Linked DNA regions of Nothobranchius furzeri. Each later gene encodes a partner of the first gene's protein in a complex. Links are inferred from orthologs where the notes say so. Each region holds a gene or a part of one and is shown in the gene's direction. Other genes may lie near its edges.

Evidence for each region. The genes of interacting proteins can lie anywhere in the genome.
Region 2: the proteins of siah1 (region 1) and usp19 are in contact, whole or in part, in a crystal structure (PDB 4X3G), measured with the Homo sapiens proteins. The link is inferred for Nothobranchius furzeri from reciprocal best matches to the Homo sapiens genes SIAH1 and USP19. Residues at the interface, in NP_003022.3 of Homo sapiens: Cys130, Pro131, Thr156, Leu158, Gln159, Asp162, Ile163, Val164, Phe165, Leu166, Ala167, Thr168, Leu172, Val176, Asp177, Trp178, Val179, Met180, Asn276; in NP_006668.1 of Homo sapiens: Lys463, Pro464, Thr465, Cys466, Met467, Val468, Pro469, Pro470, Met471.
Region 3: the proteins of siah1 (region 1) and cacybp are in contact, whole or in part, in a crystal structure (PDB 2A25), measured with the Homo sapiens proteins. The link is inferred for Nothobranchius furzeri from reciprocal best matches to the Homo sapiens genes SIAH1 and CACYBP. Residues at the interface, in NP_003022.3 of Homo sapiens: Leu158, Gln159, Asp162, Ile163, Val164, Phe165, Leu166, Ala167, Thr168, Val176, Asp177, Trp178, Val179, Met180, Asn276; in NP_055227.1 of Homo sapiens: Lys59, Pro60, Ala61, Ala62, Val63, Val64, Ala65, Pro66, Ile67.

What each region holds. Positions count from the first base shown.
Region 1 is NC_091744.1:81,653,893-81,658,176, forward strand, and holds the start of siah1 (E3 ubiquitin-protein ligase Siah1), read left to right. Parts: upstream 1-1,484; 5' UTR 1,485-1,714; coding exon 1,715-1,832; intron 1,833-4,013; coding exon 4,014-4,070; intron 4,071-4,284. UniProt on the Homo sapiens protein: E3 ubiquitin-protein ligase that mediates ubiquitination and subsequent proteasomal degradation of target proteins.
Region 2 is NC_091755.1:48,425,433-48,428,932, forward strand, and holds part of usp19 (ubiquitin carboxyl-terminal hydrolase 19), read left to right. Parts: intron 1-513; coding exon 514-703; intron 704-2,253; coding exon 2,254-2,387; intron 2,388-2,479; coding exon 2,480-2,638; intron 2,639-2,742; coding exon 2,743-2,853; intron 2,854-2,924; coding exon 2,925-3,035; intron 3,036-3,175; coding exon 3,176-3,277; intron 3,278-3,426; coding exon 3,427-3,500. UniProt on the Homo sapiens protein: Deubiquitinating enzyme that regulates the degradation of various proteins by removing ubiquitin moieties, thereby preventing their proteasomal degradation. Stabilizes RNF123, which promotes CDKN1B degradation and contributes to cell proliferation.
Region 3 is NC_091751.1:54,237,101-54,240,053, forward strand, and holds part of cacybp (calcyclin-binding protein), read left to right. Parts: intron 1-4; coding exon 5-101; intron 102-187; coding exon 188-287; intron 288-2,953. UniProt on the Homo sapiens protein: May be involved in calcium-dependent ubiquitination and subsequent proteasomal degradation of target proteins. Probably serves as a molecular bridge in ubiquitin E3 complexes. Participates in the ubiquitin-mediated degradation of beta-catenin (CTNNB1).

The sequences.
Region 1 (4,284 bases):
ATACAGATTTTATTTTCTTCTCTGCTTTCAACAGGAAAAGACTGTGAGGTAGATGAAAAGTAAAATATATGAATGGAAATCATAACAAAACTAAAATATTAGGTGAACAGAAATGACAAGTTACAGTGAAGCCATTTTCAAGCAACTGCATTGGTATCGGTTAACTTTTACCGATACCGGTATCGTATCGGTGCATCCCCAGTTGTAACGGGACGTTTTGATTTTCACCTGTCAGGTGGATCCGTTTAGAGATGTGCTCACCAGGTATGCTGGCAGGTGTAACTACCCGCTGGCGTTGAAAGTAAAATCACAATCTCAGAAACACTGAAGGACTTTTGGGAGGCAGGTGTTGTGTTGAAAATGCATCCCTGGCATTAAAACCAACTTAGTGGAACATGTTACCACAACCTGGTGGTTCTGACGCCGTGTATTTAAACGACTCTTCAAATGTTGGAAAATCACCACCCGTCTCTCATGAATGCAGACCCAGCAGGGTACAGTGGAGGATAGTCTTTAGTGTTTGTTTTCGGCTGAGCTGATGGTGACATCATGGTGTCCTGCTGTAGCTTCAGCGCTGCTGCTGGGACATATCGGTTAGTTTAGTTTGGGGATTTTACACAACATTTAAAGTTCAATCTTAAGGTGGAGACTGGGGCACACTCCCGGAGGTTTGACTAACATTTGGAATGGGAATGATTTAACCTGCGGAGCAGGAACGCTGAGGGAGAAGAAGAGTGAAACTAGGAAAGGAAAAGCAGTGAGAAAGTGAGGTTTGGTGTCAGTGAGGGCAGCTGGTGGTGCAGCCTGCAGCGAGACGGGCTGAAATCTGAGCCGTGCACAACCACAGCACTGCACGGGGTGGGGGTGAAATATGCAGGCTTTATGCTGACATAACCATGTGAGAGGCACAGAGAGGGAAGGGAAAATCAGGCCCGTTAAATCACAGGTCTGATGGGAAAATAGGGAAGAGTGTGTTTGGACTGACATCTGATGGCTGCTGGGCTCTTTTACACAAACACGCGACACCTACGTCACTACAGGAGACGACACCCCATGAACACCGGTGGAGGGAGGGAGGGAGATTTCGGACTTTCCCTTCTTTTCCTCTTCAGACTCTGGAAACACTGGGCTCTGATTATTCCTGTCGTAACGCCGTGAAGGAATTGTTTTTTGCTGCTGGAACCATGTCTTGCTCTCATTTTGGTTGCAAACCAGCGTTTTGGAAAAGCGCTTTGTAGGAGAGTTTTTTTTTACACACTTCTGCAGTTTGGTGCCAAATAGTTCCTGAAAACCTGGCCCAAGGAGCCACGGAGGTGGAACGCACACATGGATTATTGTCCAGTGTTGGAGGAAGCGTGGTGGGATGAAGCTTTTTACTGAAACGGAAAACGACGCTGTGTCGGCGGTTCCACGTCCTTTTGTGTAATCGTCCTAGTCTTTGTTTTTTCGTTTGGCTCGTACCCGACAGACAGACTGCTGCAGTTCCCACCTAATAAAGGAATTATTCATGCTCGTAGCTTATTTTCCTCCCCATCCTGTTATTTTTAGTGGGTTTGGAGGACTTGTTTCCTGTTGCGTGGACCCAGCCTTCGTCTCTTTACTACAACATATCCGAGGGGCAGGAGGAAGAAACATGATCCGATGTTTGGGGCAGCAGCAGTGTGTGGTTTCTGTGGAAAAGGTCTGGGGAATGTGGCGGGGGGGCGCTGCATAAATGTCTTTGGTCCAAGTGAAATCAAAGCCAGCGAGCGTAGCTCTACCGTCTCCACCCTGGAACTCCCTGCTCCGACTCTTCTCGTGTGTCGCCACGAGGGATGTCCACACGCCTAAAGGTGAAGGAGCCCAACCCCCGAAGTGCTTCCGTTATCTGGAACTACGCGGTTCCTTTTCCCACTCATGGATCTAATGTGGTGTTGCAGCTGTGGTCAGAGGTGGGGGAGGGAGGAGCTCACCTTCTGCTCAGCTGTTCCGCTTTAAGACAGCTTTGTGTGTGTGTGTGTGTGTGTGTGTGTGTGTGTGTGTCAGTCAGTCATGATTATGTTGAAGCTCCGCTTGTTTTCATCTCTGCTCTAAATGATGATTTTATTCTGTAATAGAACATCCGGTTTTGTTATCAGGGCTTCAAACTATATGATTATTAATCTAGAATATAATCTACAGAACCATAGACGATCCTGCAGAACCGTCCTCCCCAGCAGTGACTCTCAGTAATCCTGGCCTATTTGATCCGGTTCTCATGCGGTTCTGGAAGAGTTCTGATCCAGTTTGCACAGATGCATTTTGGCACAGCTTCTCTGACTGGACCGCTGCAGCACCTTGGTTCTGTTGTAGGTCTGCTGTGTTTGGGGTCGTTGTCCAGTTTTATGAGCCGGTTAGGTCCAAACTTCAGATGAGGTTCTGGTGGACCACAGAACTGGCCCAAACCACCAGCCGTCCTCCACCAGCTGACATCAGCTGTTAGATTTTCTCTAGACGTGCTGCTGTGCATTATGGGTAAACGTCCTCCCTTCAGTCTCCTCAGTCTGAAGGACTTGATGCCCAACGTCTCTGCAGTCTTGATTCTCGTGTGGATTAAACTGAAGTAGCAAAGTTAATTTCCTGTTATTTATGAAGAATTGGTGCGACTTTAGGTGTGATTGGAATCAGACCTGATGGTGTAACAATGATGCAACAATCCCCCCCCCCCCCCATCACATGTTGGTGTAGAAAATGGGGAAAGTTCCAGTGTGAACACACCTTTACCTGTCTGTGTTTTTGGGTCAGGTTTGTTGTTGAATCCTGACATGACATGATCATAAAATCCCGGAGACAATCGCTGAGTTAAGAAAGCAAAAGGATGGACAGACGAGTAGACGTCAAACTCAGTGGTTATTCTTTTGTCCTTTTTAAGAGGATGAACTGTTCGGAACTGAACTCAAAGGAGAATCAGAATGAAAAAATCTGATTCCAATTTTAATTGTCCCACAGAAATTTTTTGTGCCATTGACTCCCATTCAAACATAAAAAAAAGCTAAATATCACCATACATTTTTTAAAATTTCACTCCAACTGTGTTCCTGCAGCCACCAGGGACTGAAGTTATTTTTACTTTTTTCCTCTAAATGGCATGGCACTGATTTATAACACACTCTAGTAATGTATGTTTTGGAGATTGTGTGGCCAAAAATATTTTTATGCTCATTTGTGACTAGAGCCCTCACAATTCACCCCCAAAAAGTCCTCTGGACATGACACACAAATGATTTAGCATTTTATATTTTTATAATGGTTTTTTTTTTTTTTTTTGACAAAACATGGCACTAAAGGGGTTAAATCTCAAAAACACCCCCCCCCCCCACCCATTTTCTGAACCTGCTTTGTCCACGCAGGGGGGTGGGGGTGTTGGTGCCTATCTCCAGCGGTCAACGGGCACAGGGTACACCCTGGACAGAGAGCCAGTCCATCGCAGATCTCAAAAACACTCAGATATTTTACTTTGTTTGGTGAGGACTGAAGCTAAGGAAAGAATCTGTGTTAAAGATTTTTGACTTTTGAAATGTTATATAATTTTTTATTAAACATTTTGCCAAAATGCATTTTTTTTTGTGCGAGGGTACCAAGTGTAGCTTTTTTTTAAAAGGAAACTCCAAAGGTTAAAAATTAAAGAGATAAATGAAGCGTTGGGTTTGTTAAATATGAATGAAATGTGCTGGCGTCACCAGACAGCCCATTATGGACGTGTCCCTGTAATGGACGCTCCATTAGCAGCAGGTGAGTGGCTGAGAGGTTCTGAGTCTTCTGCTGTCCTCCAGCTGCTGAGCTGATTCCACACACGGGCCTTAAAGTGTCCTTGTCCAAACACTGACTTTAGTTTTAACCACATTCTTTATTTCTACATTTTATTGTCCGATTAAAAGCAGCTCCTCTTGTTTTTGCTGCAAGGATGAAACCTGAATCTGGACTCGATCAGCGCTTGAACTGAAGGGAGCAGATAGTTGAGTTTGTTTTACATTTGTGTGTTTTTGTCTTTTCAGAGGTCCCTTCATTTCAAGATCAGACGAAAGCCTTATTTGGAAATCTTATGGACGAAGGTGAGTAGCAGAGCCTCCGGGAGGTGACCCCCTCTTCTCATAACTAGTTATTGTGAATTTATCTGAGCTGCAGGTTCTCGTGCTTATAACTGATGGCTGCTGATTCATGTGAGGGAAGCTAGATTTTCTGTTTTTAAAACCCAAAATAGTTCTGATCATCAGTAAGTTACCAGTATTGATGTAATCCGTCTCATGCGTGACCCAAGTCAGCATG
Region 2 (3,500 bases), on another chromosome or scaffold:
TATTTTCCTGATATACAGGGTTTATTTAGTTGTCTGAAAATGTAACACGTTAAAAAAAATACCGCGATAATAACGAAAACCGTGATAATTTTGGTCACAAAAACCGTGAGGTTAAATTTTCACACCGTGACAACCCTAAATGTGAGTATGCAGGAAGATCATTTTGTTTGGATAAGCTGAGGATGAGAGTTGGGATCCGTGTGCGTGAGTCTTCCAGGAAAGTCCACTTTCACCACAAAAACCTCTAAAACCTTAAGACTTCTTCCAGAATATGAGTGAAAACATTTAGAGAGAAGAGAAAAAAGATGTCTGCACTTTTATTTCTGTCGGACAGTCAGTTACACCACCGAGTATGCTGCAACAAAACAGACCCCACTAGTGCAACCGTCTGATTTTCTCAGACTGCCGTAGAAAATAATCTGTCCTCTTCAGTTTGGCTCGTCTGTCACAGATCCTCTCCTCTCTAAAAACACAGATGCCTCCTTTAACGTGTGTTTGCTTGTGTTCCTGCAGCCCAAGCCTACCTGCATGGTGCAGCCTATGACCCATGCACCTCCTGCCGCGGAGCGCCACGAGGAAGAGGAGGAGAAGAAGGTGTGCCTGCCTGGCTTTACAGGATTGGTCAACCTCGGTAACACCTGCTTCATGAACAGTGTCATCCAGTCCCTGTCCAATACCAGAGAACTCCGGGATTACTTCCATGGTAAAATACTGTTGACCCCTTTTAATCAGCGACAAATATGTTTATTTAGTTATCGTTCCATGACACAAAATGTCATTTATCATTCCATTTAGTTTGATTGCTTCAACAGGTTTAATTCTAGCAGAAGTTAGGTTAGATGTTCGGTCCAGTAGGAAACGGATTAAAGAGACAGCAGTTTGACTAATTCATCTTAAACAGGATCAAAGGGTATTACTGTTATTGAAGCATAAATGATTTCGTTAACCAGTAGGGCTGGGGGTAAACGATTAATCTGACGATTATTTTATCGAATAGTCGACTATTCTAATGACTATTTAGACGATTAATCTAGCGATTATTTTTCTATTGCACAATTAATAAAAAACAGAAAATCTCAAATAAATTCCTCAAAAAATTGATAAATTGTAAGAGAATAAATACTACAGGCCTTCTATTTTGTATAACACTGCTTTTATTGTGTTGGTTGGTTATGTTCTGGTGACATGTAGAACTTGGGAGTGCAGGCTGCTGCCTGAGAGGTGGTAGAAGATGGAGTGTCTCCATGCTGCTTTGATTTGGTCACTTATGTGTGTGAGGTGAGTGGTGTTACGACCCTTCCTGGGGAGTTTGGCTCGTGTGCAAAAAGGAAGGGACAATAACGGGATTTAAAAGTTAAAATGATGATCAGGTTTATTTATAACTACAAAAAAACAAATCTTTCCATCCACAGGTTGGGAATAATAAAACTAATTCTGCCTGTGGGGAATTAAAACAAAGTACAAATAACCTGGGATGTCTCACTGGGCAAAGATTACTGGGTTCTGGACCAAAATAAGGATCTCCAAAGGTCCAACTCTAAACTGGGCGGTTAAACCAAACTCAAGGTGATATTTTACACTAAACCGAAAACCCACGACACTAAATGTAATAAAAGGGAGATCTGCACCACAAAAAAGATGACCTCTAAACCAAAACGTAACAGCTTATCCAAACGCAAGAAGCTGTTAGCCAAAATGCTAACAGTAGCTTTACCAACGTTAAGTTCAAGTTACCAAGTTTAATTAAACTAAAAACACCCAGCAGCAAACAGACCAGCACGAAGGAGAGACTGCTACCACAAAAACAGCTCTCCTAATGTCTGAAAGAAGCTCCTTTATGAAGGGAGAAACGCTCCCGGTGATTTTCTACATCTGCGGTAGAGACGGAGCAGCGCATCTGACCCCGGAAGTTGTTGTCCGTTGCCGGGAGACGAAGGCGGGCAAAACAGGAAAGGAATCTAGTAGTGGACGGACTTTGTTCCGGGTATTCGGTATTTGGTGGAGATGTTAGTGAAGGCGGAGAAGAGAGCGAACTAGAGGAAAAACGGGCAGATTCCTCCTCCATTTACAAACTCCTGGGGATGCAACAAGTGGGCGTGGTGCGTCGACTACCAGATCTGACGTCGACAAATTTTTAGAATCGAGCCGTCGACGTCATCGACGCTTCGCTACAGCCCTATTAACCAGGTCCTGTCGTACGTCTTTACATCCCGGTTGGACGGTGTTCTGAGCTGTGTTGCTGCTTTCCTGCAGACCGAGCGTTTGAAGCAGAAATCAACTGCAGCAACCCTCTGGGAACAGGAGGAAGACTCGCCATCGGCTTTGCTGTGCTGCTCAGGGCTCTTTGGAAAGGGACGCACCACGCCTTTCAACCGTCAAAGCTCAAGGTCTTAGATCGGCTCCTCCAAACAAACGTGTGTTTGCAGGATGTTGTGTTTAACGTCCCCGTTTGTCTCTGCTTGCCTTTGGAACCACGTAGGCGATCGTCGCCAGTAAAGCCAGTCAGTTCACTGGTTACGCTCAACACGACGCGCAGGAGTTCATGGCGTTCCTGTTGGACGGACTCCACGAGGACTTGAACCGCATCCAGACTAAACCGTACACGGAGACGGTGGACTCTGATGGACGACTCGATGAGGCGAGTCGGCTTCTCTTGAAACAGCTGAACTTTACTGAAAACTTTTACTTTGAAAGGACGGACTGGTGTGCACTGCTCTGAGGATTTGTTTTGGGATGCTGCAGGTGGTGGCAGAGGAGGCGTGGCAGAGGCACAAGATGAGGAACGACTCCTTCATCGTGGACCTCTTCCAAGGCCAGTTTAAGTCTAAACTCGTGTGCCCCATGTGCTCTAAGGTAGCAGATGACTCCTCTGAAGATCTTCACTAACGTTTTGCTCCTGTTAAGCTCACCGGGCTCTTTTTCAGGTCTCCATCACCTTCGATCCGTTCCTGTACCTCCCGGTCCCGTTGCCCCAGAAACAAAAGGTCCTCTCTGTTTTTTACTTTGCTAAGGAGCCACATAAAAAACCAGTTAAGGTAAGCGTTTCCCTCGCCGTTCCGGAATGTGTGTCTGTGTTGCGTAATAAACACCGTCCGTAACCGACTCCCAGACCGCTAAGCTAACATTTCTAGTAATAATGAAATAAATGTTAGTTTATTTAAATGTTTGTCTTCAGTTTTTGGTGAGTGTGAGTAAGGAGAACTCCAGCACAGAGGAAGTCCTCGAGTCCATCTCCAGGAGTGTGAGGGTCAAACCTGAGAACCTCAGACTGGCAGAGGTGAAAATCTAGAATATCAGGGATCTTATTCTCTGAAATCTCTTAATTTGGCAGGTTGCGATTAAAACAAACCAATGAAAACTATTTATTTTCTGTTTTTTCTGAGGACGTTTTCATATGAATGACGTTTTTTTTCTCCCGTCTGACAGATTGTAAAAAACCGTTTTCAGCGCTCGTTTCTGCCGTCGCACTCGCTGGACACCGTGTCCGCCTCTGACACGCT
Region 3 (2,953 bases), on another chromosome or scaffold:
ACAGCATGGGATCAGTCTGACAAATTTGTCAAAATTTACCTGAATTTGAAAGAAGTGCAGAAAATACCTTCAGAAAATGTGGAGGTGAACTTCACAGAAAGGTAAACTTGTGAGTAACAAATAACGTTTGCTGTGCTTGTTCATCATATGAAATATTTTTTTTAAAATCACATGTTGTCTCTTGCAGATCGTTTTCGGTGCTGGTCAAGGATCTAGATGGCAAAAACCATCAGATGACTGTTCTCAACCTGTTGCATCCAATCAGTGTGCAGGACAGCTATAAAAAGGTGAATAAAGCTTTTCTACATTAAAAAGCAGCTGTACGTTACATTTGGCTCAATTTTTTATGAACAGCTATCTACGAAGTTATTTTCATCACTACCCTCCTGACACTGTCTTCCCTTTTTTACCCATTCCAGATGATCAGGTGCATTTATTATTTCACTCTTCACGCAATTTTATGTAAGGAGTTCAAAATACATCCAAAATGCACATGTTTTATTGTTTATGAAATGACAGCAAATTAAATCACTATTTTTATTGCCCCATGGCTAAGTTTTTATTGCGTAGTGGTGCAGTTGTTAGCACTGTTGCCTCGCAACGAAAAGGTTGCAAGTTTGAAACTCGGCTGCTGCGTTTCTGCGTGGAGTTGCATGTTTTCCCCATGCATGCGTGGGTTTCCCCCACAGATCACAACATGCCCTGTAGATTTAAAATTGTACGTCGCTTTGGATAAAAGCATCTGCCAAGTAAATAATTAAACATAAACATTATTTTTCTTGTTTCAATAGTTCTGGTTCTTGGCAAGACAATAAGTTTAAATTGAGTCAGTGGGAGGAAACTATAAAAAAAATAAATGATTTTTAAACACAAAATGTTGTTTTAGCTCCAATTTGTAGAAATATTTGACTCCTTAGTGCCACGCAGTTCAGACTAGGGCCCTGTCCACATGTAGCCGGGGATCTGCCAAAACGTAGATATTTTTCTACGTTTTGGCCTGTCATCCACACGAAAACTGAGTTTTTTCACACAAAAACGGATCTTTTTAAAAACTCCGGCCAAAGTGAAGTTCTGCGTTTTCTCCGTTTTGGGTGTCTGCGTGTGGACAGACAAAACCAGAGTTTTAAGGTCCGCAACGTCACTGTCCGCGACAAAAAAAATGCTGACATCACGTGTGCGACCTGTGTTTACACTAGCCGACAGCATGGATGCCCTCAGAGCTGCGCTCGCTTTATCAGTTGTCCAAGCGCTTTTTGCTTGTTTGTTTTTGCAAGCGGAATTACTGCTCCTTGCGGAAGACCACAGACGACGGACGAGGTTAAGAACAGGGGAAGTACTGCCGCCTACAGGTCTGGCATGTCCTTAACAACGTATTTATCCGGGTATGTGTGGACAGAGGTTTTTTTTAAAACGAGGTGGTGTGGATGCAAGTTTTTGGAGGGACGGATATTCGTTTATAAAAATAAACGGCTACGTGTGGACTAGGCTTAAGTGTTGCAGCTACAGTAGCCCACACATATCAAAAAGGCAATTAGATGAGAATCGGAGAAAGGAGGGGGGATTTGCCTTGTTCACAAACGATCTTTGTTCTAGTGTGTTAGTCACATGTTGTCATTTGACCAGTCACAGTTGAAGAGACAGCACGCAGACACAGAACGGCGCTCACAGCGAGTATGAGTGCTGTCGCTTTAACTTCTCAGAGCGATTTTGGGCTTGAAAGTTCTTGGGGGGGGGGGGGGGGGGGTTACGTTGAGTGTGGTGTAAACACCATCAGTATTTAACCCCGTTAAAACCTAATGTTAGCAACATAAATACTTTTTCTGGTGAGAAATGGCCACCAGTATGCTACAGCCTTACTCGTTTAAAATAAATCCCAATATATTGATCTGGGCACCAGAAGATTCAGGGATGCTGGAGGAGAAACACGTGATGAGATAATTTCATAATATTGTAACATTCCTGCTGCATTAAAGAGTCAGAACAGCATTTTGCCCTTAGCACTGGTTTACTAAAGTAGGCAAGCAAACAGCTGAGATAAAGTTGCATTTACCTGCAGCTCCAGCTCTTCCTAAACATTAGGGCTGCACAATATATCACAAATATATCGTTATCGTGATATCAGCATGCACAATATGCATATCGCAAAGAACAGCTAAATATCACAGTGAATGGTCAGCCCAAATGTTTGCTACACATAATGCATTCTGTCAAACGGCGAAAGCATGATGTTTTTTTTTAACAAATCAAATAGAGCTCTTCATCCATTTGGCCAATTGGGTGGGTTCTCTTAGGTTAGAGTCCCGTCCTTGAGGCGGACGGCACTTAATTTTGATGATTAGCAAACACCTGAGTTAGCTTTGTTCTGCTCTTTTTGCTGATTCTGCTTTTCTTGGGATCCACTGATCGCCTTTTCTTGTTCATTTTCCCTTTCCTCACATCTTTAGCTTTTCTCATTTTTTAAATTTTTTTAAATTTCTTTGTTTTTGATTATTTTTGTTCCTGAGTTAATTTTTTAATTATCGCAAGTAATATCGTCATCGCAATATTAATCATTGTTATCGAATATCTCATGTTTTCCCAATATCGCGCAGCCCTACTAAACATTTAATCACAACCAACTCATCAGAGCATTAGCACTCATGACTCATAACAATAACCTCTTAAGGATGATTACAGTGTTCTGGAATATTTTCTGATGTTTTCATGTTTGGTGGTCTGAGTGTGAAGTAGTCCTATTATAATACTTCTTAATAAATATGTGATGTTTTTTTCTGAGCAGAGAGACTGTCCCTAATCCACTTTCATGTCCAAATGCAAACATGGAGCAGTATTAGTACAGTATTTTAAGATGGCGTATGGTTATTGACCCTTTGCACCGACGTCACCTAATCACGTGTGTCCACCATGGTGGACGGCAAAAGCATGTAAACAGTGAGCAACGCGATTACTAAAC